4 linked regions of the Alligator mississippiensis genome follow. The main gene of each other region encodes a partner of the protein of the gene in region 2 in a complex. Links are inferred from orthologs where the notes say so. Each region holds a gene or a part of one and is shown on either strand. Other genes may lie near its edges. The genes, in order: MED13L, MED24, MED25 and CCNC.

Region 1 (7,367 bases), on a different chromosome or scaffold from region 2:
TAGTGTTGGGGTGTAGGTGTTATTATGGCCATAGAGTTGTTATGGGACAGTGGTATCAGGAATGTCATTAAGTGCTTGGATATTGACACAGTTTGATGTGATCATTTATTAGCAATGGAGTTTGCTATTGTGAATCCTACCCAATGTAGGCCGGTGTTTTGGCCTGCCTTGTAACCTGACAAGTAGAAAGTGTGTTCTTTTTCTCTAAGCACACTGCTGTCATGTAGTCTAGTCTTGGATAAGGCAGTGATATCTATTTGATACCTGTGTAGCTCCTTTGCTATTAATGCAGTTCTTCTACAAGCTCGATTTTCCTTTTAGTGTATGAATGTTCCAGCATCCAATTGTCAGTTTCTGTCTGTTTTTGTTTCTCCCACTTAAAAAGGAGATCCCGCTGATCATAGGAAACCAGCCAGGAGTTGGTGAGAGGTGAGCCTTTTTTACCCCAACTTTTATTGGGGCCTCCTTGGATTGAGGCAGGTGGTGCCTCCCTAATTAGGGCCACCTGGTTGCCTAGGTAGGACCTCATGTTCCCATCACCAAGAGAGAGTCATGCAACCATCACACCTAAGCCACTCATGTGGAGATCATAGGCTACCTGCTTCCAGCTGTTCAGGTTTGTCAGCACTGCCTAGGAAATTCTCACCATGACTGTTTGGTGAAGAGTTTGTGGATGATGATGGTGAATACCTCAGCCCACCCCTAACCCCTTCCATTGTTGCCGCCTGAGGGACTGACGCAGGATGATGCAGCAGTGGTGGGGGGAGAAGCAGGCCAGATGTGGTTTGAGGGAATAGTGGGCGCGCCGCAGCAGTGGCAGTGGGGGGAGGGGAGGGGAGGAGTGGGCCCGGGCCTCACGTGGTGGGGAGGAGGACCAAGCCCAAGCTGGGGGAGAAGCTGGCCCACGCGGTGGGGGGAGCAGTGGGCCTAGGCTGCCACAGCGGTGAGAGGGAACAGGATGTGCGGGCTTGGAGCTGACAGTGGGGGGAGGAAGGGGGTGGGGTAGAAATGGGCCCGGGCCCAAGGAGGGGAAGAGGCTCATTTCTCCCCTTTCTCAGCTGCTACCATGTCGGGCTGGGCCCACTGCTCCTGCCCACCGCTGTGGTGGGCGGGCTTCTCCTCAAGCTCACCCAGGCCCACTTCTCCCTGCCCCCTCCCTCCTCCCCATTGGCTCTGAGCCCACTCCTCCTGTTCCCCTGCCACCGCTGGGTCGGCCCAGGCCTGCTGCCCCCCCCCTCCACGGCAGGCCGGCTTCTCCCCACCCTTGAGCCTGGTTCTCCCTTGCATTGGGCCAAGGCCCACTCCTCCCCTCCCCCTGCGGCGGGGAGGGAGAGATGGTGGGGAAGAGGGGTGGGAGGGGAATGGGAAGGGGGGTTACTTGGGCCAAGGCCCACTCCTCCCCTCCCCACTGTGGCGGGGAGGGAGAGATGGTGGGGAAGAGGGGTGGGAGGGGAATGGGGGTTACTTGTGGCTGTGTCCCGCCATGGTGGCAGCCGTCACTGAAGCAGCAGAGGAGATGTGGGGAGTGGCCGTGTCCCTGCCCTGGCACGAGGCAGCTGAATGCAGGCCTCTGTCCTCCTCCCCTGTCATTTTTGATGGGCAATTTACTAGTCTAATATTATAAAAGCCTTAGTTTGTCTGTCTGTCTGTTTATAACGCTTTATTTGTGACCTGATTGGCTGTCTCAGCAGCCAATCAGAATGCTCTGGACAGACAGGACAGAGAGTGGAGTGCCACCATGGCAGTGAGGGCTGGGGGCGAGGGGCCAGGCCAATGGAGCTAGCGTGGTCCCCCCTGCCCCACTCCTTGGAGGCAGAGGGGGATGGTGGGGATGGAGCCGGATGGCCTCACCCCACCAATCTGCTCCTTGGAGCTAGGGGCCAGAGCACCCCCCCGTCACCCCGCAACAAGATCCAGCAGGGAGACGGGGGGGAGGAGAGGAAGCAGGCCTGCCATGGCGGGGCGGGGGGGCAATGGGGTTGGGCCCGCAGCAGGGGGCAGGGGAAGAAGGGGGAGTGGTCCTTCTTCCCCCGAACCCAAACTGCTGGGGGAGGGGGGGGGGGACAGAGTTGAGCCTGAAGGGGGCGGGGCCAGACTAGTGCGGTGGGGGGCAGGGACGGGAGCACAGGGCCAAATGCTGACCTCCATCCCCACCTCCCCCCATCATTTTTGATGGGCAATTTGCTAGTAGCAGTAGTAATAATAATAATTATAATTATTATTATTATTAGTTTTTCAGGTTCTTCAGGGAGGATGGAATAGAACTGATGCTTAACTCCACTTACGCAGGATGGCGGGGGGGAATCATCCTAATAGGTGGAATAGAATCTGACCCCAGGGATCTAAAGTCTATCCAGAGCAGTGCATTTGTACAGTTTGGACAGGGCTGTTGTGCCAGTATATGGCTCCAGATTTACTACAACGAAACAGGTCTTCTTACTAATTCTGTTCTGTCAGTGTAATAAAATACTAGCTCCTGCTGATTACAACTATTTGCAAAGAAAAGTAAGCGATGAAAAATATTATTTAAAAACGTGAAGAAAGCTCTTGTTTTCACCAAATAGGATAAAAAAATCTGCTTTTGTACTACATCAGATAGTTTAAAATGTGTTGTATGTTTTTTCTATTTGTTATTCAATATTGACTTTAATTGCTAGGCAAATTTAAATTAATTTTACTTTTTAAATGGCGATTTTCCATTTGTTAATGAGAAGTCTAGGTAGTTCAGCTTTATTCTACATGGCTAAGTCAGTTTCCTACTTGAAAGTTTCAAAGGGACGCTGTCAACTTTAGCATTTTACATACAGTTCTTTATTCATGTTGCAAAACATACATTAAAGTAGAAATAAATATTTTCATTAAAATGAAGTAATATTAACTATAGCTATTTGTTGCTATTTGATTACTTTTTTGAGTGTTTTTCCCCTAGGACAATGAATACAATTGTGCTCAGTTTCACTTGTTTATAGTCAGCTTTACTTTCAGGTATAGTTAATTTGAGGGAATGTGTATTGTTAAAGATAGGCAAATGTTTGTTTTAAGAGCTGTTTCAAGTCGAACAAAACAAACATGTATGAGGTAAGATTCTTTATATCAGTCTAAAAAGCATCCTAAAAGTGTGGGACAATTTGATTTAGCTTTTTAACATGGCAATCTCCATGGAAACTATAATGTTAAAAGGAATAACTTAATTCTAAATTACTTTTTGCATTTTTTAAATTTATAAATACACTTACTGCTAAATATTTTGTTTTGCTTTCTAAGATATAGCAAAGTACTGGTATGCCCTGTACGTCACATTTAAAGCAATGAGTGATTCGGTTCCCCTTCCAGCTACTCTTCCGGTGCCAGCAATATAGTCGAAAGGGCCCTGGCAATTTATTTATTCGTTTTTGTTTGCGTCTGGATGGACATTATCATCGTTTTGTGCTGGAGGATGGACAAGCGCAGTTATTCACTCTTAACATGGGATCTTTCACTCTGCAGCAAGTGACAGCAAGTTTGGGGTCTCTAAGCCACCCAATAATAAAATGTATCAAGCGATTTGCCTGCAGGTAATATTGCTAGCAAGGCGGATGCCACGGTTTGTTTTTTACGAAGCACCTTGCGCTCTCCCCAGAGGGCTGGGTATCGCGCCAGTCGTCAGCACTGAGGCAGGGGAGGTTTGCAAAAACTCGGATCGTCCAGACTTGTGCCCAAGCTGCCACTTTTGGGTAGCCACTGCAACGGGGAGATGCCTCTGGTTATAATGGAAGGGCACGGATTCATTTGGGTGATTTTCTTTTCCTGGACCAGCGCCCTGGTTGGGATGAAGTCAGACAGGTTTTGGCCTGGAAACCACCTCCTGCAGGCCTCCAAGGTGAGCAGGGCAAGGGGAGGCTCTAGGAAGAGGGGGCCTGGTCCACCTGCCCGAGATCCAGGGCCCGCCCCGGCTCCCACCGAGCAGCAGCCCCTGCTCCAGCTGGAGGCGGCGCCGCTGGAAGCCGCTGCCCCGAGCCCGCCGGGCGGCCCCGCCCCCGAGCCCGTTGCTGACTCCGCAGCACCCCCAGCGGAGCCTCGGGACTGCGCAGGGGGGGCGGGAGCCGGAGCGCTGCCCCCCTCCCGTCGGAACGCGTCACGTGGGGCCGCGGCGGCCAATGGCGAGGCGCGCTGGGCCTGGCGGCCGCCATTGCTGTCAGAGCGGAGAGAGGCGGCGGCCGGGCGTGCGGCGGAGCGGGCAGCGGCGGCGGCGCCGGGCGGGCAGCGCTGCGCGAGGGCGGCGGGGACGGGCGGGGACAGCGCGCGCGCTCTGGCCGGGGGCCGCCGCCAGCCGCCCGCAGCCCCCGGGGCCCCGCGCGGGGCGTAAACAAGGCGGCGGCGGCGGCAGCGGCGGCAGGAAAGCAGCGCCCGCCCACCGCCAGCGGCGGCAGCAGCGAGGGCGGCCGGGTCGGGCCGGGCCGGGACACGGCCTCCGCCGCCCGCCGCGTCCTGCCGGGGCCGCTCCACGCCGGCCGCCCAACCTGGCCGCGGGCGGGCCCCCCCCGGCGGTGCTGACGGCGCGGCCCCCGGCGGCTCGGGGTGTCGGTCGCGGCGCGCAGCGCGGGCCCCCGAGCGCCCCCGGGCGGCGCAGCGCCCCCTGCCGGCCCCGCCTGCGCCGCCGAGCCCGGGGCAGGACCGGGACCGGGACCAGGACCGGGACCAGGACCAGGACCAGCACCGCGGCGGCCGCCCCCGTGAGCCGCCCCGCCCCGCCCCGCCCCACCGGGCCCGTCTCTTCAGACATGCCCCGCTCCGGCGGCCGGGCTCGCCGAGGATCATGACTGCGGCGGCCAACTGGGTGGCGAACGGGGCCAGCCTGGAGGACTGTCACTCCAACCTCTTCTCGCTGGTGAGTGCCTGGCGCGGGCGGGGGGCGAGCCCGGCCCGACCACACCCGGCCCGGCCCCGGCGCACAACGCGCTGCTCGGCGGGCGACGACGCTCCAACTTCGCGGCTCGGCTGCCGCTGCCAGGGGGCTTTATATCCCGGCCGGCGCGGCGCGGCGGCTCCTCCGCAAGCCCCTCCCCCGGCTCCGCTCCGTGTTTGTTTTGCTCTCCGACGTCGGGGTCGCGAGCGCGTGTCCCCTCCCCGGCGGGGGGGGCGGGGGCGCAGCCGGTCCTCTGCCCGTGCCCGCGGGGAGCAGCCCCCGCCGCCTCTGCCCGCCTGCCCCGGCGCTTCGCGCCTCCCAAACTGCGTGTGCGCTCATGTCTCTGCTCCCCCCTCTCGGAGCGGCAAACGCCATTTCAGCAGCAAGCAGTTGCGCGCAGCGATTACGTGCAGGGTGGGCACCCTGGGCTCCGGCCGCTGGACGCGCCAGCTGTCCTGCTGGGGCCGCAGCTCTGTCCCCATCCCACAGCTCAAAGGAGAGGAGCGGGGACAACACCTCCTCACTTTTTTTGTTTCCTAAGGGAAGCGCTCGCTGGGAGTGTGGTGGGCTGGGTATCTTGCTAAAACAGATGCTGTCTTCTCATCTTGCTGGTAACTGGCAACTTTCACTCTGTTTTTGATGGCAGGGTTTAATTTTGCAGCAGTTATTGTATCAATTCTTCATAGTGAGACACTCAGCTAATTGCAGATCCTTAAAGAGAGTAAGAGCTGTCGCTTCTTTGTTTCAGTGATGGTTCACTTCAAAATGCCTTTTCCCCTCCTTGTCCCAGATACCTTGTCCCTGCTTGCTGGAGAGCAGACCTAAGGGTTCTCCCTTAGTCATTCAGCTAGGAGCTTCCCACACTGATACCTGGAGCAAGTAGGAAGCGAAGTGGGGCTTCATTAGAGTCTGCAGTTGGGTTGAGCTAAAACAATAGCTAGTAATGGGAGGTTGGGAACAGCCTTCTGGAGGAATGTGTGGGGAGGAAGAGCGCAAAATGTGAGAGTCGAAAGTCTCACTTCTGGAGAGGCAGGGAAGGAATGTTGAGCAGGTGGTGATGCTGGTTTGTTTTTTGTTTTGTCTTTGTTCCCAGTTCATGTGCGTATGTGTCTTCATTTTCTAAAATCCTTGGTTCAGGGGTAGGGATGTGTAAGTGACTAAGAACCGTGTCATTTCTAAGTTGTATAAATGGCATAGTATCAGACGTGTTTTGGGGCTGTTGGTTGTACCTGTGCTGATCTAAGGACGTAGGCAGACAAGGTTCTTTGGGTAAATGCCGTATCTTTTATTAGGCCAACCATTACTTGGTTTAATAAAAGATATTGATCGCATTTACCCAAAGAACCTTGTCCACCTAAGTATATTAGGCATACTTTCATTCACTTCTCTTCATCTTAATTTGGAGTGTCTCTCACATTTGATGTATCTTGAATTTATTAAGAATGTAACTCTTTGGGGCAGAAGTCTTATTTACCTATGCACGTGTACAGCATATATTGTGTTGGGGTGCTGAGCCTGTCATGGCTTTTGGGTGGCCCCGTAATACAAACTAAAAAGCTCTTGGCTTTTGCATTTGTTCCATAGTTGTGAAAATGGTTACACTGTTAAAAAAATAAAATTGCATTTACAGAGTTTTTTCCCTGAACCATGATAGTGTGTATGTGGCTGTGCGTGTGCAGATGTAGCAGTGATTCGTATAGATCAGTTTTGCATATGGAGACAAGCTAGCCATTAAATACAGGATAAATAACTATTAGAACTGTTAGCAGTAAGTTAATAAACAGTATCTTTAAAAAAAGAGGATTATTCAGGTTTTTTAATAGGAACCTGAGCATATTTTAGGAAGTTGTTAGCATGGCATAACTTCTTGTGTAGTGTTATACTCGGTGCTAATCGCTACTAAAATAGTTTTTGGCATATGATATTTTAAACTATAAAGTTATAAGATTCAGAGATCTCCTCCTTCCCCAAGAGTTTACCATTTATACTGATAAACATCTATTGAGCAGTAAGTTTTTAATATGTATGCAGAATATCAATGAAAAAATTGAAAATTCTTCATCTCTCATTCCTGTTAATCATCTATAAATTCTGCAGAGCCAGAAAATATTGCCCTTAATTTGTCTTATAAAACTACCTTAACAACTTCACTTGCTAGTGGCTTTTGTGTGGCTGTGGTATCAAGTAACTTCTAAGCAGTGATTTGCAGATTAATGTCTTAATTAAGAAATTATGCTTTCCTACGTATTTTGTGTTAACTTCACTTGAAATGTCAAGGAACTGACAAGACTCAACTATTTTTTTTGTAAACAAGTTAATTAACTGTGGTAAAGTCATGTTTGTTTTAGACTCTTATCGTGTCAGAGAACAAATGTGTTGCAACTGTCATTTGCTATTTATTTGTACAGTGCCCAGCACAGTCGGGCTCCAGTTTGGTTTGTCTTTGGGCATTGCCTAAATTTGGGGGGCTAAATTTTAATTT
Region 2 (7,554 bases):
GTTGCCAAATGCAACCCTGCCTTTAGCATAGAGCTACAGAAGAAGGGGTCCCAGAATGCAGTGCTGTGTCATGATCGGTTGGTGAGACCCACAGAGACAGCAGGTTCCAGCATGTGACTGAGTCAATATGGAGTTTTGCACAAATATTCGTCTCCTGCTTTTCTTGGTGGCAGAGCACGCCCCGCTCAGCACGTCTGCATTCCCTTGAGACAGGGAAGGGAACCAAGACAATCCCCAAACATCTGCCAGGTCTCCCCCCTTCTGATGGCCTCCTCCAGCCAGAGGGCTTGGCACAGAGATCTGTGCACCAGGTTGAGAAGGCGGTGCTCTTCTTTGAAAAGCCTGCCACTTGTCCTTGAGAACTAAAGATTTCTACCTCTCTGTGTGCTGTAAGTCCTACTGCAAATACAGTGACTATACAAGAGAACACTGCAATTAACCTTTTCCAATTTATCTCACAAAAAAGGCTCACAAACATTCCTTCCCACCCTTCCCTGCCTTCCCCCCACCCCACCTTTTTGCTACCCCTTGTCCTGCCCCTCACCTTCCCTCCTATACCCCAATGATATCTCATCCCTGTGGTTGCTATAGTGATTGTTTGCTGGGGGAAAGCTACATCTAGGGACTTATTACACATATTTAAGCATCTTTTAAAGGGGCCTAACAATTGGAAAGGAAAGGAGAAGGAGTTGAGGGAGTCAGGACTATATGCTCAGCCCACATCACACTTAGAAACATGTAGCCACATACTACAACATGCAAAGCTGTTACCAGTATCTGGCCAGCTCCCAGTGGGCCATGCTCTGACAATTGCTGATTGGAAGATCAATTGGGAAGCTCACAGGCTCTTCTAGCGGTGAGCTCCTGAGAACAGGAACAGCTTCCTGGACATTTGGAAAGAGCTTGGTGTGTGGCTGGCAGAACCATGAATCAATAAAGAAGATATTACTGAGCCATAGAAGCTGACTGTTTCTTAGAAGAAGCAGAGTCCCAGCCTCTCTGGCTGTGACCCCTCCCCATCCCACACCCACCCATCTCAGGATTCAGCCCTGTTCTCTTGTAAGTTGAAGGCAGGGTATATTTGTACCTTATATACCAGTAGTAGCTAAAGCCCCTGGTGGGGGTGAAGGATGTTTGCTGGTTGTAGGGCCACTTATAGTTCTGAACTGACTCACGGATTTGGACTTGATTTGGCTGATTTGGCTTGGAACACAAAAAAATTCTTAAAAAAAAAATCGTATAGACCAGTAGTTCTCACCCTTTTAGACTCAAGGCACCCTCCATAACTTCTGTGAATTGAGGGGTGCCCCATTTCAAAAGCTAATTTATTTATTACAGGGCTTACCTCCTTGCAGTGGGGACAGGGGGGCCACCAATCAGGAAAAGCCTGAGCCTGCCCTGATCTGCTTATCTCTTCACACTTCCCTAATCGCCTTACATTTCCTCTGGCACTCTTCAAAGGATCTGATGGCACTCCAGGGTGCCCCAGGACTCTGGTTACAAATCACTGTTCTAGACTAACTAAAGTAGACTCATCCATCAATCAATCTATTTATCTATTGCACAAACCTTTGTGAGCTGAAGTTTCATCAGCAGCTGATGAAGTGAGCAGCAGCCCTCAAAAGCATGTATTATATCTATATCTACTTTGGTTAGTCTAGAACAGTGGCTCTTAACCTTTTTAGATGTGTGGCACCCCTCATTTTTCCTAAGGCACCCTAGCTTTACTCAAGGCCCTCTCCATAACTTTTGTGAGCTGAGCAGCACCCTGTTTCAAAAATGAATGTCTCAATGGTGGCACTACTTCCTTGCTGAGGCGACAGGCAGTGGAGGCAGGGCAGTGGTCAGGCAGGGACCAGCCTGAACCTGCACATGTCTCCTCACACCTGTCTTGTCTCTTAACACCTTGCAGCACCCCTCAAAAGATCTTGTGACACCTCAGGGTACCCCAGCACCTTGGGTGAGAATCATTAGTCTATAACAGTGGTGGCCAACTTTTTTGCTCTGCAAGCCAGATGGTCAGTGCCAGGTCTGTCTGTGGGCCACATTCGGATGGTGGGCTAGATCCTGCATGCAGGGCTGGCCAAGTATGGTGTGCAGCCTGACCCTGATCTGATCACCCAAGGGGGTGGGGAATGAATGATTTGGCCCAAATCTGGATGTACAGGCTGGCAGGGAGCAGCCTGGCCGTGATCCAGACACGTGGATCAGGGCCAGGCTCCAAGCTGGCTCCAATCTGGACATGCACGAGGGCGGGGACACAGGGACTGGAAGCAGCTTGACCTATTCCAGACTGGTGGCGGGCAGGCCTAGCATGGATCCCACGGCATGGCAATGGCCTGGGCAGTGCTGGATCTGGCACCATTCTCTCACCACCAAATTCTCTGACCCATGGTGAAGCCAGGTGGCACAGCTCTGTACCCTGGATTTGGCCTGTGAGCTGGGGCTCAAGCACCCCTGGTTTCATAGTTTCATAGATGTTAGGGACCAGAAGGGAACTTACAGATCACTGGGTCCAATCCCCCTGCACTTGGGCAGGAAAGACTGCTGGGGTCAGATGACCCAGCAAGATGGGTGTCAAGGTGCTTTTTGAAGATTGCCAGGGTGGGTGACTGTACCACCTTTGGCGGGGAGCCTGTTCCAAACCCTTGGCACTCAACTTATAAAGAAGTTCTTCCTTACATACTGCCTGAAGTGGTCTTCAATCAGTTTATGCCCATTGTTTCTTGTCCTCCCCTGAAATGCCTTGGTGAACAGATGCTCCCTCAGGCCCTGATGTACCCCTAATATATTTATAGGCTGCCACCAAGTCCCCTCTGAGTCTTCTCTTTTCCAGGCTGAACAGTCCCAAGTCTTTCAGCCTCTCCTCATATGACCTGCCCTCTAGGCCTCTAATCATGCATGTGGCCCTCCTTTGGACTCTCTCAAGCTTCTCCACATCCTTCCTGAAGTGTGGTGCCCAGAACTGGTTGCAGTACTCCAGCTGTGGTCTCACCAAGGCCAAGTAGAGCAGGAGGATGACATCCTTAGCTTTACTCGAGATGCTTTGGTAGAGGCATGCCAGTGTTTGATTGGCTCTGCCAGCTACAGCACTGCATTGGTGGCTCATGTTCATTTTGTTGTCTATCACGACACCTAGGTCTCGTTCAGTTGTGGTGCTGGCAAGCGTAGCACTGCTTGTAAGTGTGTTGTGGATTATTTCTCCCCAGCTGGAGCACTTAACATTTTTCTGTATTAAACATCATCAGGTTGAGGTCCACCCACCTCACAAGCCTGTACAAGTCAGCCTGTAGTGAGCACTCCCCCATAGTGACCACACTCCCCCATAGTTTGGTGTCATCAGTGAACTTTGTCAGTTTGCTTTTAATACCTGAATCCAAATGAATGTGTTGAAAAAAAAGCACTGGCCTGAGTACTGAACCCAAAGAGGGCACCTGGGTTTGAGCCAAGGCATCTTGTTCTGCAGTCAGATACTCTACCACTGAGCTATACCCCCTCTACAAGCTGCATCAACCCATCCTTCCACCTGGCAACATTTGTGTCTGAAGGTCAGCGTTGCCAGGTCTTAAATATGAAATGATTGTATTGGAAGCTCAAAACTATTGTCTTTGCAGAAAAATGATTTTACACTGAAAAAAAATGCAAATAAAACTTATTTACTTCATATTGCTCACTATAACTTGCCAGTGAGTGAGGAAGCACTGGGTTGTTGAAGTTGGAGCATTTCTTTATTTCAAAGCAAGCAGTCATTAGGAGGTGCTGACAGCAAGTCCAGAAGTTGGCTTGGACTCTCTGATGTTGAGTTGGGTTTTACATGTGCTGCATCAATGAGCTGCCTCAAAAATTATAGTACGTTTGGAATGCTTCACTGTTATCAGTCACACATCCCTACAAGGGTTGAAATTATGGTACAAATATGATAATTACCATACCTCTGGCAGCACTGCAGGGGGTGGTGGCAGAGCTGGGTGACAGCAGGGAGCTTTCCTAGGCCCCGCTGCCCAGCCAGGAAGGAGGGGCAAGCTTTCTGGTGCCACACATCATAGGCGGCTGGTCAGGGGTGCACGTGCCCCCCCTCTGATGGGGCCGGTGCCCCCCTGACGGCCAACACTGATACTGTCGGTAGGGCTGGTGCCCCCCGACAGGGTTGGTGGCTTCTGCGGGTGCCCCCTCAGATTCAGGAGGCACCAGTCACTCATGCCACGGATTTCTAACTCTGCGGGGATTTTGGCGAAAAAATTAAATCCCTGCCGAGTTTTCCCCAGCCAACGTCCGCACCGCCCACTTCCCCCGCTGGCAGAGACAGCCCGGCTGCCTGCATTGGGGTCTGCCAGGCTCCGACCCCCCAAGAACCACAACTCCAAGGAGGCTCAGCGGCGCTCGAGCGTTCTTCCGGCCAATCAGGGGAGGTCTTGTTGGTAGGTGCTAAGATGGCGTAGTCCAGGGCCCGCAGGAGGTGTTTTCTCTGTGCTGCGCTGCTGGGGGGCTCGCAGGTGAGGGGTCCTCCTGGCATCCGACTGCGGAGGGAGGAGGGTGGCCCCCTTTCCTCCCCCCGCCTCGGGCTGGGAAGAGATATCGCCTGGCAGGAGCCTGCTTCCTCCCCGGGGGGTGAAGAGACCCAGGAGTTCGGGCCGGTCACTGCCTTGAGCGCCAGGCCCTGCCTGTTCCCGGTGGCTGGAAGTAGTTCCTAGGGACCCTGGCTTCACAGCTCCGAGTCTCCCCCACTCCCAATTCTCACCCCTGGAGCCTGTCCTTCCTCCCTCAGCTTGGGAGTGGGACTCAAGCCTCTCAGCTCAGCACTTGGACCAGCCAGCGCTGCCCCCTTGTAAGTGGTGCTGGTGGCATGAATAATAATGTAGGAGCTCATGCATGCGCCCTGGGAGAGGTGCAGGGGTGATGTCTTTCCCTGGGGGGCCCCAAGTGGGATGGTGAAAAATGCCTGCTCTGATGATGCTGCCAAACCTTTCCCCCTCTTGCTTTCAGACCTGAAGGATGAAGGTTGTCAATCTGAAGCAGGCCATTCTTCAGGCCTGGAAGGAACGGTGGAGCGATTACCAGTGGGCTATCAATATGAAGAAATTTTTCCCTAAAGGAGCCACGTGGGACATACTTAACCTGGCAGGTCAGGATTTAGCTTGTGTGTAGGTACAAATGTTTGTCTGTGGTACTTGCGCGCTTCCAAGCGAGGTGGATGCATGGTGAAGGAAAGCAAATTACGCAGTTGTAACATATTCCTAGTTATCTCTCCCACAGCTTTATCAGAACTGCAAAACTGTCCGGCAGCATCCTTTGGAAATGGAGGATGTGCTTGCTTTTCCCAGCAAAGGTGGGGTTGCAGCAGGTGTAGGCATACCTATGCTCCCTTGGGTAGCTGTGAGGATGTGGATACACAGGCAAGAAAGCTGCTCAGATATAACCCCGCCAGAGATGCCAGGGGTATGTTTCTGTTGCTACAAACGCAGGCTGCCAAATCTTTGCTACTGTTGCCCAAACTAAATAGCTTTCATTTTAGCCTGGGTATATAGCTGGCATTCAGTTGAAACGTAGGTATATCTTAAAGCTCTAGTCCTGAAAAGACTTATACATGTGCTAAGCCCTGCTGAATTCAGTGATATGCTAAAAATTAAGCGTTTAAATCTTTGTAGGATGGGAGAGCTGTCTCGTGATTACTCACTGCAATAACACCTGAGCTATTACAGATGTCAAGGGAGTCGGGGTAGGTTAGTGGATGGAGCACTGTAGTTCTAAGTAACCAGCTCTTGGTTACCTACGTGACTTTGGCCTGTTGCTTCCCCATCTGATGCCTAGCTATACAATGGGATAACACACCCAAGGATGAAAAGTGCTATATAAAAATGACATTTTTGGGGTTTTTTTTAATGGGAGCATCTTCTAACCCACAGATGTTATTAGCATTTATTTTCTGCATCTCTATTCAAGAAAGGGGGCTGCCACAAATCCTGCCAAATGTTGTTGCCTACTTGAGTATACATAGCTAAAGATTTGCCAGGCTCTTATGCCAATTATAGTAACTTGTTGCTAGGTTTTCTCCTATAAGCATGCATTGGGAAGATTTATATAAATAAATATAAAGCACTTGGTCCTGGACTGATTTGAAGGGGAGGTTTTTAAAGGGTAAAAATCCCTATTTAAACCGACATTAAGACTGAAATAGAGCATCCTTGTTGTTCTGATGGTTGGATCTCCTGTATCATGATCTCCTGTATCCTGAAATCCTATCTTCCCTCCATACCAATTTAATCGCCTTGGTCTTTTCTTTCTCCAGTGGAGGGGGTGGGGGTTCTTTTTCACTTGATACCTGTTTTCACTTGCTTTCAAAAATTCTTTATTGATGCATTAATATAGGACCCCTGGAACTGATTGGACACTTAACAGTGGGAGGATTATTCCTTCTCATCAGAGGCTAGAATAAAATCAGGATTTTGAAAGCAACAGCCAGGTCCTGAGGGCAATGCATCAATGAGAAGTCCAGTTTGCCCCTGCTGGGAAGTGTGAGGGTCCTAGGATTTTTACTGTGGTGCCATGCTTGGGTGTTTCTGAAGTGTGACACTTCTGTAATATCAGCTTCTATTTAGAGGGTGTGTGCTGTTAAATTTGAAGCCTCACCTGGCTTGCTTGCTGGGATGGAAAGCCATTTCCACTCTTTTTTCCTTGGATTTCCACAGCAGATGCAAGACCCAGTTGGGAAGTAATACATCTGCTATTCCATCCCTTCCCTGACGTGGAGAATGTGTTCCTTTGCTACAATATCTCCCTGTCTCTCTTAGGTATAATTCCTTTTCTTGGTTTGCTAAAATCTTTCTTAGGGGACAAATTTTTGCAATCAAAACTGACCAGAGTCCTGTTTTTCTGAGAGGCACTGGCACAGACTGCAGGCTTTAGCAAATAAACAGCATCAACTACTTTTTCGAAAGTTTTCTTCACAATCCTAGTGACTTGAAATGGGATGTTTATAAACAAAGGTGCAGAAATATGTCATTTAGTGCTTCCACCAAGTCCAGGGTCACTATTGAATGCTTCTGCTCAGCTGTGGGTAACAGACCTTTCAAGTTGTGTGTGAACTGGATCTTGCTATACAAAAGAATACACAGGTTACACGTCCATAACCCAGAGTAACAGCTGCTGTGATGGGATCCCTTTAGATATAATTGTGCTACAATTCGTTTCTATGCCAAGTTGTACTGTGATATATGCTTTATCTCCTTGCCACTCCCACACATTGTACATTCCTCATTCCAGGCTTCTACTCCTCTTTGCGGGCTTGTTTCCTGCCTCCACTCCTTTGTCTGCATTTTAGCCTCTTAGATAAGCTTTTATTAATATTATGCAGGCCCCCATTTCTCTGTAAAGCATTCAACACAGATTGGGCACGATGGTTAATATTTTCAAATCCAGTTGCCTAAATTTAGGCTTTCGTATCCAAACTGAGGCATTGACAGAGAAGCTGCCTGCTCCCTTTGCTTTCAGAGGGAGCTGTGAGTATTGAAGCCTTTGGAGATCAGGCCATTTGTGTTTAGTTGGCAAAGTTTGGAT
Region 3 (7,248 bases), on a different chromosome or scaffold from region 2:
CCTCCCTGGGGACCCCAGGCCTGTGGGATGACGCTAATAGCCCCCCCACCCCCCTCCTAGCAGCTGGGAGAGCTGCTGCTGCCCCAGGGAGGGGGAGGAAGCGGGGGTCCCCACAGGTGCTGGCCAGGCTCCATGGTATTTGCCGTTCTAGGTGTTTTAGCGTCACGTAGTTCCTGCGGATCAGAGCGTGTGTATCTATCTCCATGTGACTAATAAATGGGGCACCTGCCAGGGCCCCTAATACCACCTGCCCCCCTCCCCTGAGCTTCATTCTGTGCTGTGGGACCCGGCAAGGGAGGGCTAGGGGCATCAGGTCACAGGTACAGTCGCCACCATGGCACTGGGATACACCTGCTTCTGGGGTGGAGCATGTCACAGCAGGGTGTGGAGCAAACTCTGGATCCTGCAGGGTGGGGAGCACTATGCCCCTCTCTCTGCTGCACGGGTGGTCAGGTGGAAATGACACAGGAAACACAGATCGGGGTATTCCCTGAGGTTTAATTACAGGCAGGTGTGTCTCAGCCCTGGTCCAGGGCCCTGAAAAACCCAGGTGTCTAAGCTGCCAGCCTCAATCCCCTCTCTTGCCAGGCTGTGGGGATTGAGGCAACTAAGCAGCCAGTGTTCATTCCCCCTGCCTTAGAGGAGACTCAGGACCCCAGTAGTCAGCATCAGTGCTCTCTTGACATGTAGGGATCTGGTCACGTGGAGTCTGTCTCTTATTGCCAAGCTGTAGGACCTAGGCATTTGGGCGGGTGGCATCAGTCCCTTGGCCAAGCCATGGGACCCAGGTGTCCAGGCAGGTGGTATCAAAAGGCAGCATCCCCCACCAGGTACTGCAGAATATGGGTAGCCAGCGGGCGCAGGGCAAAGGTGGGAACCTCGGGCGCCAGTAGCAGGAAAAGCTGATGCGGGGGCGCCTGGGCAGCGTAGGCCTTGTACCCAGCACTGACCACATAGCAGTGCTGGGCACTATGTGAACCCCCACCTAGGGGCAGCTCCAGTGGGGGCACTGCAGGAACAGAGGGAAGGGGGGTGCTTAGGAGGTACCTGCCCAGTAGTGCCCAGCAGAACTAGAATCGGTGCTAGGGTCCCTGGTTGGAGAGGCTTGGGGGCCAGCTCCTGCACTCACCTGGGCTCCCCTCACAGGGAAAGTAATGTGAGACTACCAGGGCATAGAAGGCCCTCAAGACAGAAGCACAACTCCCCAGGGGCAGTGCAGGGCCTGTGAGGAAAAGGCAGGGAGGAGGAGGTGGGTGAGGGCAGAGTGGTAGGCACTGCCCTGGCACTGCTGCAGCACATTTTGGGGGCATCAGGAAGTCAGGGTTTGTGGGGGCAGGACCTACCCTCTGCCTGAACCCCTCTGGGCAGCACTGCACTCAGACTCCGCTTCTGCTCGCGGTTGATCAGCAGGAAACTGAGGGAGGAGATGTAGTGAGATGGGGTGGGGGGCAGCTAGCCAGGGGTGCTGATGCCCCTGCCCAATGTCCCATTCGCCCTCCCCTGACTTACGCCAGGACTCCAGGGTGCAGTGGGACACTGGGGGGACATGCACATGCCCGCAGAGGCTCCAGCAGGGGCTTCCAGAACCGTGGCACTAGCTGAAACGCAGAGATAGGCAGGCTAATGGTGCCAGTGTTCTTTCTCCCCCCCCCCCTCAGCGCCTTAGCTGGGGCTTCTGTGCAGGCTTTGTGGGGGGGTACCATGCTGTCCCCCCTGGCACCCACCTCAGTCTTCACAGCCTCCAGCGAGGGGCTGGGCCCACACAGGAGGCAGATGTCCAAGCCGGGCAGCAGCTGGAAGGTAAGGAGACGGTGGGGGACCTAGGGGGGGAGGGGGAGGCATAGGCATGGTTATGTCTACTCCCTACTTTCCACCCCTTGCAGCCTTGAGCCCCTCCCCATGGGCTCTCACCATGGGGCTGCCCTGGGGCAGGTAGACAGGGTAGTCCCGGGTAGTGCTGGGAAGTAGTGAGCCCACGAGCCAGGCCAGCAGATTCACCTCCTGGGGGGCCAGCTGCCACCAGGGTTCAGTGGCCACTGCCACACGGCCGCCCACCAGCAGGCAGCCAAAGCGGCTCTCTGCTGCCCGTGTGAAAGCAGTCAGGCATTCCTGGAAGAGGGGGGTTAGGAGGAGGAGGGGTCAAGGCAGGGCAGCTCCTTCCTTGTCCTGGTCCCAGTAGTAGTTGCCCCTCCCCTGGATCCTCACTTGCTCCAGCATCCCAGCCTTCTGCTCATTCCTGTTTGTCCCTACTCCCGTGCCTGTGGGCCAGGGCACCAAGGTCCCTCCAGGGGATAAAAGTAGGGCGTGGGCCACCGTGGAGCTCTCACCTGCAGGATGGTGCTACAGGGCACAAGCACACACTCCACACAGTGCGTCAGGTCCCCAATGCGCTCCCCAGGCATCAGGAAGCTGTCAATGAGCTTGTAGCAGGCCTGGTTGTAGGTGGGGGGAAGGGTGGAGTAGGGCTCAGCCCCACACCAGCTCAGGGCAGGGGCATATGGCCCTGTTGCCCCACCCCACGTCCAGGGCAGTTGGGGCATCCTGCTCTGCCCTTCCATCACTTACCCTCAGGTCCTTTTTAAGGCGCTCCACATTGCGGATATTCGCCAACTCCTCCAGGCCCAGCACCAGCACCTGGAACCAGGCCCCAAGCCCATCAGCCTGACACACTGAGGGGCTGGGGCGCAGGGCTGAACCAGGGCAGCTGTGTGAGGATACAGCTCTGCGTGTGTACATATACATATGCGCACACATGCCTAGGGTCCTCTAAGGGAAGATGGGGAATGTGGGTACACTTCCTGGCCCCCCCCCCTCCCCCTCAGCCCTCTAGGGACCCTTTGTGTAGAGGGGTCATATGACAGCACCCCCCTCTGGAAGGATAGGGATGGGGGCTGGATGTTAGAGCAGGAAGGTGGGGTATGGGGGAAGGAGGGTTGCTCCATGGACTTTGCTGGGGGAAGGAAAGGGATAGGGGCATAGAATGGGGGCGGGGAGGCTTACCATGGCACTGAACACATTGTCCAGGAGTCGGCTGAGGGTGAAGTCACTAGCACCTTCCTCTGATGACATCACAATGAGGGTGATGCTGGAAAAGCCAAGGGGGGGGGTAATGGCCCTGTCCAGCACCATAGCCCTTCAGGGCCAGCCCCAAATGGACCCCCTGCCCTACCTGGAGCCCTGCTCCCCTCCCTCAGGCTAAACACCTGCCCCCTTCCTGCCAGACTCGCTCCCCCCTCCAGCTCGACCTGTGGTCCCCTCCCTCTCCCCCAGGCCAGGCCCCACCTGTTATGAAAGGCCCTCCACAGCACGCGGGTGCCCTCCGTGCGGGCGGCTGTCAGCGCCACGTCCAGGTTAGAGCCAAACATGTGGACGCCGTTCAGGGAGCCGATCACGGAGAAGGGGAGCTGGGGGCGGGGGCGGGAAGTCAGTGGGGTCCCGGGGGTGGTGGTGGTGAAGGGATCCAGGACTAAGCTCTCTGCCCAGAGCCAAGGGGGAACCCAGGCGTCCGCCCCCCTCAGCTGTGGAGGGGGGGGGGTGGCCGGATGGGACTAGGGCACCTGGGTTCTCTCCCAGCCCTGGGAGGGGAGTGGGGGCTGGGAGCCGGGTCACCTGGGTTCTCTCCAGGAGGGGCGGGGCGCGCTGAAGCCAGGGCGCCTGGCTTCTGCCCAAGCCGCGGACGGGGCTGGGGCCAGGACTCGCGGGTCCCAGCCGAGGGGGGGGGAGGGAGTGCTGAACCGCGCGGGACCCGATGCAGCCCGAGGCAGGCATGACTGATCGGGGGGTGGACGCCTGCGTTCTCTCGGGGCCGGCCCGACCTGGTGCCGTGTGGGGGCGCCGCGGTAGAAGAGCGGGACGCCGCTGGTGGCTGCCAGGCAGAGCAGAGAGACGGGGCTGCCGCCAGGCTCCGCCATCACCACCCTTTCAGCCTTCTGCAGCCATTTTGCCCGCGCGGGGCACACTGGGGAAGCCGCGCAATTACTATGGAGACCGGGGGCGGGGCCTAGACCCCCTACACCCGCACGCGGAAGCGAAGAGGAGTACTTCCGGTGGGCGCCGGAAGCGGGTCTCTACGGGGGTAGGCGGGGCCTGCGTGTCCATGGTAAGTCCGCGGGACAGGGGTGCGCCGTAGTGACCCACCGCCCGCCCGCGGGGCGATGGTGGTGCCGGGCCCGGAGGCGGCGGCCTTGGGCGGGCCTGGCGGGATGGTGGCCGACGTGGTATTCGTCATCGAAGGCACGGCCAACCTGGGGCCCTACTTCGAGTCGCTGCGCAAGCACTACCTGCTGCCCGCCATCGAGTGAGTGTCGTGTGTCCGTCTCCCTCCCCCCCCGCCTTGAACTCCGGCTCCGGGCTCTAATGCCAAGCTGGCACTTGTCCTGATGCCCCCCCGCCCTGAACCTAGGCATCCAGGCTCCAGCCCTGCAGTGTCTGGCTCTGTCTGCTCCTCCACCACCCAGCTGGGAGGCCCTAGCCTGCCCTAATTCCCACCCCCCCAGTGAACCAAGGCGTCTAGGCTTTAATGCCAGTCTGTGACTCCTGCAGCCTGCCCCGTGCCTCCCGTAGTGACCCTGGGCATTTGGGCTTTAATCCTTTAACACCTGGCTATGGACCCCCAGCTGCCCCAGTGTCCACCCCCACCAGCTGTGGGACTTCCAGGGGTGCCCCCCCCCCAGTCTACACTGGCAGGGTGAGCCCAAGGATCCAGGCTTTACCCCTTTAATGCTTGGCTGTGCCCACCCAGCCTGCCAGAATGACCATGCCCCTGCCCCCCCAGTGCTCAGACTCACCATTGCTCCCAATTGGGTAAACAGTATCCCATCTTAACCCTTCAATGCCTGGTTATGCCCCCCATCCCTGACACCCATCTATGGGCACCACCCCAAAAACTCCCAGCTGTAAGACCTCCCCCCTCTTTGCCCCATAGCTTGCCCAGATGCCCGGATACCATGCCTGTCCTGCCTTATTTAATGCCCAGTGATGTGTCGGCCCCCGCCCCCCCACCTGGCTCCAGCCCCAATCGGATTAACACATCTAACAACTTCTCTATGCCCCTTCATCTCTGTCCTGGCATGTGGCTACTTCTCCCCGCCAGTCTTCCATCTCTGCTCCCCCACCCTGATGCCTACTTATGGATCCCCCCAGCCTTCACTTGATATCCAGGTCTCACCTCCCTGACCCTGATGCCTAGATATGTACCCCTGGTCCCCAGCACCTGGCTACAGCCTCCTCTCTCTCCTCTTAGTGCCTAGCTGTGTCCCCTCATCACTTTCCCAGCTCCAGTCGTTCCCCCCCCCCCCGATGCCAAGGTATGGGACCCCCTAGCCTACTCCCAGTGCCCAGGCCTTCACCTCCCTGTCACCTGGATGTGTTATCCCCAATGGTTCCCAACACTCAGCTACAGCCCCCTGCCCCCTCCAGTGCTTAGGTGTGACCCCTCTTCTCTACTACAGCTCCCAGCTACAGTTCCTCCCCTCCACGATGCCCAGCTATGGGACCCTCCCTCCAATTTATCCTTGATACCCAGCACGCCCCCCTAAATGTCTGGCCCCAAGTGCCCCACCCTGCTGTCCCTGTTCTCATCCATGACAGCCAGGCACTGTTGATACCAGCTGGGCACCTCCATCAGTGGAAGCAGCTGGTCTGTCTCCCCAGCACAGCTCCATCCAAGCAGAATGAGGCCTGCTCGCTACTTGAATGGGAAGCCTCCAGATACGGTGGGAGGGGGAGAGAGCAGCTCTGTCCCCTTCACTGTTCCACCTGTTCTGTGTCTGTCAATTGGATCATAGCTGCCTTTTCTTACCTCTCCTGAGCCACCCCAGCCCCCAGCAGTCCCACCCCCTTCCTGGCACCCTCCCACCTGTGCCCTAACAACCCCCCTCCCCCCACAGGAACAGCCCGGTTCAGTTGCCCCACATATTCCTGCCCTGCTCCATCTCTCCTCCAGCCCCGCTGCCCCCTTCCCTATTTCAGCTCTGATAGCTTTTTCCTCTTGTCACAGGTATTTTAATGGTGGTCCACCAGCTGAGACAGACTTTGGGGGAGATGTGAGTAGGCAGCACAACATTGCCTGGAGAAGGGGGAATTTTATGGCCCAACAGTGTCATTCTGGGGGCAACTGTCGGGCAATCCCATGCGTGTGTCCTGCCCCACCTCCCGGCCCGCCTCTGGCAAACTGTCATGAAGGGTGGGATGAGCACCCTGGATCCCTCCATGTCCTGGGTGTGTGCATGGTATCACTTGTGGGTGCAGGAGTGGCCCTCCTGGTGTCCCAGCACCCCCTGCCAAGGGAGGGCATTTGGGGGGTACCTGGCATCTCCAGGCAGTGGGGTTGGAAAGCTGGTCAGGGATGTACCACAAGCTGGTCTTTCACAAGGGAGGTCAGGGTAGGATGTTCAATTTGCTGGTCATGCCTTAGGCAGGGACGTACCACTTATGGGCAGTTCCCAGGGGGATGGGGTGGAGTGTACCACTAGGGGGGCAGGGGTGGTTCATACCACATGTGTGTCATTCCTGGTGCAGGTGCCCTTTGAAATCTTCATGTTCTCCTGTTCACAGCAGGTTGTGAGCATGCAGGGTGCCCCTACTCACTTTGGGGGTTCCTTGGATAGTACTGTGGGGGGCACGTTATACCCTGCTCCCCTGAGGGTAAGGATACGGGTGGGACAGGATGAACTGTGGGGTGCTCCTCAAACTCTACCCCACCCCCATCTTTCCATAGAGGTGGAAGGGGCTTGAGGGGCCATGGAGATGCCCCTTCGTGGGACACTGGTCTCCAGTGGGTTGGTGGGCCAGGATGTGGTGCAGTAGCCCAGTCATACCTCACATGCTGGCAACTGATTCCTCTTGTCCCTGAATGCCTGGGTCCTCTACAGAGCCTGAGGTGTAGTTGGAACCTTGGGCTAATGTGGGACAACCAGGGTGGGGCCCAAGCAGGGAGGAGGTGAGGAAGGCGGGGCCCATCTCCTGTTACTGGTGTCCCTGGCTGTCTAGGGGCAGGGCAAGCCCCAGGCCCTCTCCTACCCCAAGAGCACCTGTGCAGAGGGCCAGGCTTGGCAGCAGCAGGAAGAACATGGGTCAGCCAGGGACAGTGGCAGTGGTGGGTCTCTTCCCCCCTGTCCCCTCCCATTCCCCCCTCCCAGCATGGTTTGCCACCTGGTTAAGGAAGGAAGGGGAGTGCCAACAGTTAGGGTGGGGTTAGAATTTAACCTGCTTCAAGGGCTCAAAAATGTTCCTGGCATCTGCTGCATC
Region 4 (7,834 bases), on a different chromosome or scaffold from region 2:
TCTTTGTAACAGAAACATTACTCTTTAATCAAGAAATAAGTGAAAGCTAGGAGCCTGAATTTTCCAAGGGGTGCTTTGAGTCTAACAAGGTGTGCCTTAGTTTAAAAAGGTTGAGAACCACTGGTGTAAAGAATCAAGACCTATCTATATTTAAAAAAAAGGCAGAGAAGAAAACTTAGTATATACCAATCACAAGAAATTCCATAGTGGTCTCAGTCCAAAACTGTGCTTGAACCTAATAGGAAATATTACTTCTGAGAGACTGACCCAATCTCACTGATGTCAATATTCCAAAAATATTAAAGTTATATGGAAGTACACGAAATAATTGTAAATATGGCAACATAACTGCTATATCCTAACAGTGTTGTTCTAAGCAATCACTGCCTTAGACCCTAACCACGGTGAATGCAAAATTTCATCACAGTGCATGGATAAGAGGAAATGCATGAAAATGCATGAAATCCAGGCAAAGTATTCCTATATAATGAAAAACAATAAAATGCCTGATTTCTTAAAAAAAAAGAAAAAAAAAAGAAAATATCTTCAAGATCCTGGTTGTCTTGTAAAATGATCAATTGTTTTCAACCAGTCTGTTTAGATCTTCTTTTCTATTCTCATTGAACATGCAAATGGTCATCAGACACTAGAGCATATCATTATTTTTTCAGGCTAGCCACTTTTAGAGAAGCATTATATATGGCCTTCTTCACTGGTCTTTAGTTTTCATTGGCGCTTGATTCTTCTCTCATTTACAGAAATATAAATCAGGAATTATTCTACTGATATTAATGAAGTTACATCTGTACAAAACTAAGAAAGAAGAGAATCAGGTCCATTATTGTTAAGAAACTCAAGAGTTTACCTACATAGGCAGTTTACACTGGTGTAAACAAGGTTGCATTAATATAAAAAGAAGGGTGTGCACATGACTTAACTTGCACAGGTGTAACCAATGAGTTGCTTCAGAGATGTTATTCTCTTTGGAACCAATAGTAACTTTACGCTGGAGTGATGTTGTGTGCCTCTGTCTGTGGTCCAGAGATCAGTCCATAGTATAAAGCTAGTTGAACAAGATTTTTTACAGGAAGTCAGCACAGACACACATTTTATCTCAAGCACAGACATCCTCACAGAAGGGGACACTGATGAAAGCAGGACTGATGATTCCTATCAAGAGGTTGTGCCTGACAGCCAGGAGTTTTTCATTTCAAAGGAGCTGGAGTAAGATCCTACACAAAGACTGAGCTGAACTCCCTGAGCCTGCCCAGCTCTATTGCTGAGAACACTCAGGCTACCAACAAAGCTGCAAAGGAAATGGCAGACATCACTGTTTGCTTTTTTATTATAAGTGACTGAGCAAAACCCTTCTGTGACAGAGAGCACAATGCAATAAACATGAAGATTCAGCCATAGTTCGTGGCCATTATGAAGAGGCAAGGTTGTTGATGAACATGTTCCAAAGCTGCCACTCACCTTCTACTTTTTCCCACCCAGCACCATGGTAGCCAGAAGCTTTTCCAGACTTTTGAAAACTCACCTGACTGGGAGCAAACATTCACTAGTTGGACCCTGTGTCACAGCTCATTCCAGTCTGGCAGGGAAATGACCTTCAGCACCCTCTCAAACCAAGGCCCCACCACCAAGGCCCAATGTTCCCACATAGCCCCACAGATGCTGTTCACCTTTGTGTACCTGTCCTCCAAGTTCTTATGTAAAATCTCCCTTACCCTTTAATTTAATCCACACTGCTTGTTCACAATATATTTTAAATGTTCCAGGTTTTCTACTCCTGGCACTGTTTGTTCTGGTACCACTCCAAGTCAGATATTGTTTAATTATAAAATAAATTTATTTCCACACATCCATCTGTGCATCTTTGTTTGCAGAATGCATGGGAATCTGAAGAGGTTCTACATAGCATGTCAACAATAAGCCCACTTTACCTGGAGGCCCAGACATGCATACTGGACATATACTAAAAGATACCTGATATTTAAAATGAATGAAAGTGCACACAGCATGCACAATAAATCCTGCTGATCAACTGCACAAGATCCTGTCAGTAAACTGACATGCACCACTGTATTTAAAATCCATAAAACCAACACTTCATAGCTAGAACATCCCCAAAAGCCTATCTAAACCATTATGCCCTTTCCTCAAAGTAGTTGCACAGGACATCTCAAATAATGTGTCCCAAGAATTTGTCATCAGTTAGGCTGGTCAAACTGTCATAAAAATCTCCAAACCAAACCAAACCAAACCAAATCAAACCAAACCAAACCACTCAGCCTTCAGCAAGGAGAGCAAGGGAGAAGTATGATATGGGGAAGGAAGGTGCCCTTGGTTCTGTTCCTTATTCCCAATGCTGTTCATGCATCCAGTAGTCCTGGGATAAAATGTATAAACACCATTGGGAGCACCACCACGGCTTCACAATTATTGTAGTGGCTGCCTCACAAGATACAAAGTTTTGCTCCCTCCCATTTACTGTTCTAGCCCCAGGACTTTTTAATTCCTTCCCTTCCTGTCTCTCAGTCTCAACAGGATGAATGCAGGATACCCTCAATCCGGCCTAGTGGCAAGAGCATTTTTCTGGGAAGTGGAAGAAATGGCTTTAACCTCCGCTCAGGTTCAGTGAAACCTGGCATGCAAGTATCCCATTTTGTGGGCAAATGCCCATGCCACTTGGCTTTTGGCAAAAGGGAAGTGGCTCCTTTCCCTCCTCTTCCATTGCCCAGGTAAACATCTCCACAGGGTTAAGACTGCCAGCTGATGAAGGCACAGACAGTGTACCCTGAGTTGGGGGCCAGAGCACAGGGATTTCCCTAGAATTTCCTATTGTCTGCCTGTAGATAGCTAAGTATGCCCTGGACACACACACATTGCACATATTTCAGGCTGCTCTATTTTTCTAGGGCAGTGATTCTCAATCAGAGTGCCACAGTAGCCTTTGAAGGGTGACGCAGAACGGGGGATAAACACAGGCTCCAGAGAGATGAGTGCAGGCTCATCAGCAGTGACTCCTCCACCCACTCACTGCAACACAGGTTCTTCCCTGCTGGCTACTCCTCTTTCTTCACAGCCCCTCTTCAAGCAGGTAAGAGCTATAAATGAAGTAAATTAGTTTTTGAAATGGGTGCCACTCAATTCACAGAAGTTATGGAGGGATCCTTCAAGTCTCAAAGGGTTAAGAACCACAGCTGTAGGCTACTGTTCAACTGGTACAAACCCCTCTCCCATTTTTCCTGTTGCATCTTTATCCCTTCCCATGCAGAGGGAGAAGGTGTCCTCCTTCACTCACAGTTGTCATTAAATTGTCCAGTATCTGGAATTTAATGGAGTCCAGCCCGGTGGCTGGTTCCGTAAAAGACAACAGCAGAGAAACAAGGAATTCCGTCCTATTAGAGTACCTGTTACCTTTATGGTAGAGTTCAACCCCTCTGAAGGTTGATCAGGCACTGAGAGGCTGTCAGTATAACTAGTTGGCAGGAAAGGCTGGAGTGAGAAAGCAAGAGTGCCAGCTGCTTCCTGCCCAAAATTTAACTGCTTATTCCAGGGAGTGTCAAACTCACCTGGCTTCATGAGCTGGATGAATGGTACAGGGCTCACCCTACAGACTGAATCATGCCCATCCATCCCCATGCCAGATCCAGCACGCTTGGTGCCTGCTCCAGCTCATTTGGGATCTGCGGCGAAGTGGCCTGGCATCGTGAAAGCTTAGCTGCCACCACAGGAACAAACTACATTGCTGGACTTCTCACTGTGCTGCTGGGGCTCGTTTTGCTGCTCTCACCCAGGCAACTGGTTAAACCAGTGAGAGCTGCAGCACTAGAGCCCAAACAGCACCAGATCTAGCTCTGTGGGTCCAACACCCCTGATTTACACTGCTACAACACACTGAACATTCATAGCAGCACACGCAGCACAGGTTTCCAACAGGTGAGTCTTGTATTAGCTCTTACACACTTACATCACTTTCACCCCCCACACCGGCACAGATTGTTACTTGGGCTTCAGCCCAGCAGAAGGGCCAGCAACAAGCAACTTTACATCAGGGCTACAGGGGCCCTGCCTGGCCTGGCAGCAGTGCTGATGGGTAGATGTGATGATGGTCAGATGTACACGGAGAAAACTCCCTGGGGCATCACTGCCCAGATCCCCTGGGATGGGTCAACAGCCCACTCCAACTCAGAGCTGGCACGAATCCCAGTCCCCCAGTCCCAGGCTCCCATTTCTAGACCCCCAGACCCAAACCCAGTCTCCCAGTTCCAATCCCAGCCTGACTCCCAATCCCCGTTTCAATCCCAATCCGCCATTTCTAGTCCCCCAGACTCAATCCCACTTTCCCAGTCCCAATCAAAGACCAGACTCCAGTCTCAATCCCAGCCTGACTCCCAATCCCCGTTTCAATCCCAATACCAGTCTGCCATTTCTAGTCCCCCAGACCCAATTTTAGTCTCAATCCCAGTTGCAAACCCAGTCTGACTCCCAATTCCCTAGTTTTAATCCCAATCCAAGTCTCCCATTTGTAGTCTCCCAGGCCCAATCCCAGCCTGAATTCCGATCCTCCAGTTTCAATCCCAATCCCATCATAAATCCCAGCGTCACCGTCCCAGTTTTGACAATTCCCCAGTCTCAGCCCCGTCCCCAGACGAAAGCCCAACCCGCGGCCAGGCGGAGGGGGCGGGGCCGGGGGCGGGGCCGAGCGCGGTGCACCCGCTCTTGGTCCCCCGTCCGGCGGAACCCGCGCGCTGGCGGCGGAACTCTTGTCTCTGGGCGCGTTGCCGGTCGGCGGAGTGAGGGCGCGGGACCCCGGCGACCGCCTCCTTCCTCCTCCTGCCGCCGCCACCGCTGCTGCCGCTCGCGAAGCTGCTCCGGCCGGGGGGGGGCAGCGTGGGGGTGGCGGGGCTGGTCAGCCGGGGGGGCAGAGCCGCCTCCCCCGAGCCCGCTCCATGGCGGGGAACTTCTGGCAGAGCTCGCACTAGTGAGTGGGGACCCCCTCTCCTCCCCCTGCGGGGCGCACGCGGCCCCGGGCTGTCGGGGGGGAGGCGGGGCGGCCGTTGGGGGAACGTCCCGGGGGGCGGGGGAGGGGTCCTAAACGCACGTGCGAGTGAGTGTCATGGGGGTGCAAGGCGATTCCCGCCCACCACGTTGCTGGTCCCTGCTGTCAGTGCCAGGGGGTCTGAAAACAGCCTTTCTGTAGCCCCTGGTTGTGGGGGCTGCCCATGGGAGTGACCCCAGGGGAGCCGGTCCTGTTCCTAATGGGGTGGTTTTGGTAGGGATGACCCTGCCTCGATGACCTCTGCAGGTCCACTTCTCTATGATGACTAAGCCTGAGCATGTTTTGCGTGTTGGGTCACCAGGGTCTTGAAACAGCCAGTCGTTTTCCTCTGCCTACTTGCTCTTTTGGAAGTCCTTTCATTTTTCTCTCTCTTGCTGCCTGGCTTGGGAGAAGAAAGCTGACTGTGGGCCAGAAAAGAAATCCCATGTTGGGAAAACTGGAAGGCGCACCAGCAGCTGATGGGTTTCACGTCGGTTTCAGGAGGGTGCATAACACACAGATGAGCTGCTCCCCTCTTCCCCCAACATGCACCAAATACACATGCAGGATCTGTGACTGCAGCAGCTCTCCAAGTCAGTCGCAACCACCTCTTCCTCCTCCCTGGGGGCTGTCTGGCATATTTACCAAAGTCTGGCATACAAAACCTAACTCAAAGGTCTGAACTCAAGTAGTAATACTAAGGGGGAAAAAATAACAGGGACCTAGGGCTAGTAATAGACCACAGTATGAATATGAGCCGGCAGCGTGGTGCTGGAGCCAGCAAGGGAAACAATACTCTGGCATGCATCAATCAATGCATCTCAAGCAAAACCAAGGAAGTGATTCTTCTGCTTTACTCAGCACTGGTGAGACTGCAGCTGGAGTACTGCATCCAGTTCTGGGCACCACCCTTTAACAAGGACATGGACAAGCCTGAGAGAGTCCAAAGAAGAGCCACCCATCTGATCAGAGTCTTACACAGCAAGCCATACAAGGAAAGGCTGAGGGACCTGGGATTCTTCAGCTTAAAAAAGAGAAGGCTGGGAGGGGACTTGGTAGCAGCTTTCTGCTATCAGGGGAGTACACCAAGTGAAAAACTGTTCTCCAGAGCACCTTTGGGGAGAACCAAGAGTAATGGCCACAGACTCTTAGAAGACCATTTCTGGCTCAACATTAGGAAAAACTTCTTCACAAGTTAGGGTGTCCAGACTGCACCACCTTTGGAGGGAGCTCATTCCACAATCGCCTACCCTGGAAATCGTCAAGAGGAGACTGGACAGTCACCTTGCGGGGGGCACCTGACCAAGTATCTTTCTTGCCAAGTGCAGGGGGGCTGGACCTGATGATCTTCCAAAGTCCGTTCCAGCCCCTAACAATCTATGAATTTATAAAACACAGCTGCTCAGTGGGTGCAAAGCCAGCTTTTTAAAACTTGTCTTGCAGTTTTTGCTTTTTAAAAAGCCGTTGCGTTGTTAAGGCTGTCAAAGGAAAGTCTTGGGGAATGCTTGTGTTGGTCTTTACTTAGTATCTAATAATCTGCACCGAGGTGCAAGGTGGCAAAGATACAACCTGCAGAAACATGTAATCTGGTCCATGGGGCTTCAGGAGGGATTGGGAATTTGGGGGCAGGGCAAGGAGAGACAGGGGCTACCACTGAATTCTGGCAGGTATTTCAGAGTATGACCAGGGACATATTTCAATGATGGCTGTGGTTCCCTGAGCTGATGCAGATGCTACAAGCCTTGCTAGAGGCCAGATTGAGCCATAAAATCCAAGAGAGATTTGACATCCCTTATCTACACCACAGAGAGGGGGAGAAGGAGATTTAAAAGCTTTTCCTGCAAAGAAAGTCACAGCGAATCAAATATATTTCCCCTATAGAAAAGTTGGCATAGAATGAGCTGTGTCCAAGTATCGTTAGCACTGGGTATATTGAATTTAAATGTGTGGCATCTAAAATAAAATCTGTATGTAGTATATCTCTCAGACTTTATTTTTAACTAATAACTAATGCATTTGACATTTTTAGCGTTGAGAAGGCCTCTTATTTCTGGTGATTATTTTTCCTCAAAGGGCCTGATTTTGAAAGCCCTAATGAGCATTCATTTTGCAAGAATGTATCTAGCATTACAAGACTCAATTAAAGGGATGCACACCAGCCTGTTTCATCCCCAGATATGAACTATACTTTATTTGTTCACAAGTCACTGTATAATATTTGTGAATTATTTTTTTCCCTCCTAGTTTACAGTGGATTTTGGATAAACAAGATCTGTTGAAAGAACGCCAGAAGGACTTGAAATTTCTAGCAGAAGAAGAATATTGGAAACTTCAAATATTTTTTACTAATGGTAAAATGGTTTTATTTTTGATTAGCTGTCTAATTTGGGTCACACCTATGTATCTGAATTCATGGTTCATTTACCTAGAGCTTCGGTTTCTCCTATTTTTATGTATATATTCTCTTAACGTGTTTAAAAAGTTATATTAATATACGCATTTGAAAGATGTATGAACTAGATGCAGGTATATTTCTCAAAGATGTTATGAGAGATCTTGTTAAGTTTTCCTTCCTATTATCAGTCTAGTAAAGTAGGTAACATTCATTTTCTCAGGCATTGAGGCAGAGAATAGGACAGAAAAGTTAAGTGTCTTTATTGCAGGGACGGGCAAACTCCACCCTGTGGGCCAGATCTGGTTGGCTGTGGATTCTTATTTCCCAGCTGCTCCTGCCCTCATGGCTTGGGCCAGTTTCCACGGAGACCCCAGTTGCACCTGTGTGGAAAG

The links.
Region 1: MED24 (region 2) and MED13L share a complex: the UniProt entries of both Homo sapiens proteins name them as parts of the mediator complex. The link is inferred for Alligator mississippiensis from reciprocal best matches to the Homo sapiens genes MED24 and MED13L.
Region 3: MED24 (region 2) and MED25 share a complex: the UniProt entries of both Homo sapiens proteins name them as parts of the mediator complex. The link is inferred for Alligator mississippiensis from reciprocal best matches to the Homo sapiens genes MED24 and MED25.
Region 4: MED24 (region 2) and CCNC share a complex: the UniProt entries of both Homo sapiens proteins name them as parts of the mediator complex. The link is inferred for Alligator mississippiensis from reciprocal best matches to the Homo sapiens genes MED24 and CCNC.

What each region holds. Positions count from the first base shown.
Region 1 is NC_081833.1:23,710,202-23,717,568, forward strand, and holds the start of MED13L (mediator of RNA polymerase II transcription subunit 13-like), read left to right. Parts: upstream 1-4,244; 5' UTR 4,245-4,795; coding exon 4,796-4,867; intron 4,868-7,367. UniProt on the Homo sapiens protein: Component of the Mediator complex, a coactivator involved in the regulated transcription of nearly all RNA polymerase II-dependent genes.
Region 2 is NC_081827.1:164,759,993-164,767,546, forward strand, and holds the start of MED24 (mediator of RNA polymerase II transcription subunit 24), read left to right. Parts: upstream 1-4,386; 5' UTR 4,387-4,493; intron 4,494-4,530; exon of another isoform or gene 4,531-4,825; intron 4,826-4,983; 5' UTR 4,984-4,992; coding exon 4,993-5,122; intron 5,123-7,554. UniProt on the Homo sapiens protein: Component of the Mediator complex, a coactivator involved in the regulated transcription of nearly all RNA polymerase II-dependent genes.
Region 3 is NC_081828.1:39,928,980-39,936,227, reverse strand, and holds the start of MED25 (mediator of RNA polymerase II transcription subunit 25), read left to right. Parts: upstream 1-4,057; 5' UTR 4,058-4,154; coding exon 4,155-4,297; intron 4,298-5,998; coding exon 5,999-6,044; intron 6,045-7,248. Other genes in the region: FUZ (protein fuzzy homolog), read right to left, coding at 807-1,009, 1,130-1,222, 1,344-1,414, 1,510-1,598, 1,725-1,820, 1,912-2,109, 2,328-2,432, 2,566-2,634 and 3 more. UniProt on the Homo sapiens protein: Component of the Mediator complex, a coactivator involved in the regulated transcription of nearly all RNA polymerase II-dependent genes.
Region 4 is NC_081824.1:85,518,339-85,526,172, reverse strand, and holds the start of CCNC (cyclin-C), read left to right. Parts: upstream 1-4,834; 5' UTR 4,835-4,958; coding exon 4,959-4,990; intron 4,991-7,291; coding exon 7,292-7,398; intron 7,399-7,834. UniProt on the Homo sapiens protein: Component of the Mediator complex, a coactivator involved in regulated gene transcription of nearly all RNA polymerase II-dependent genes.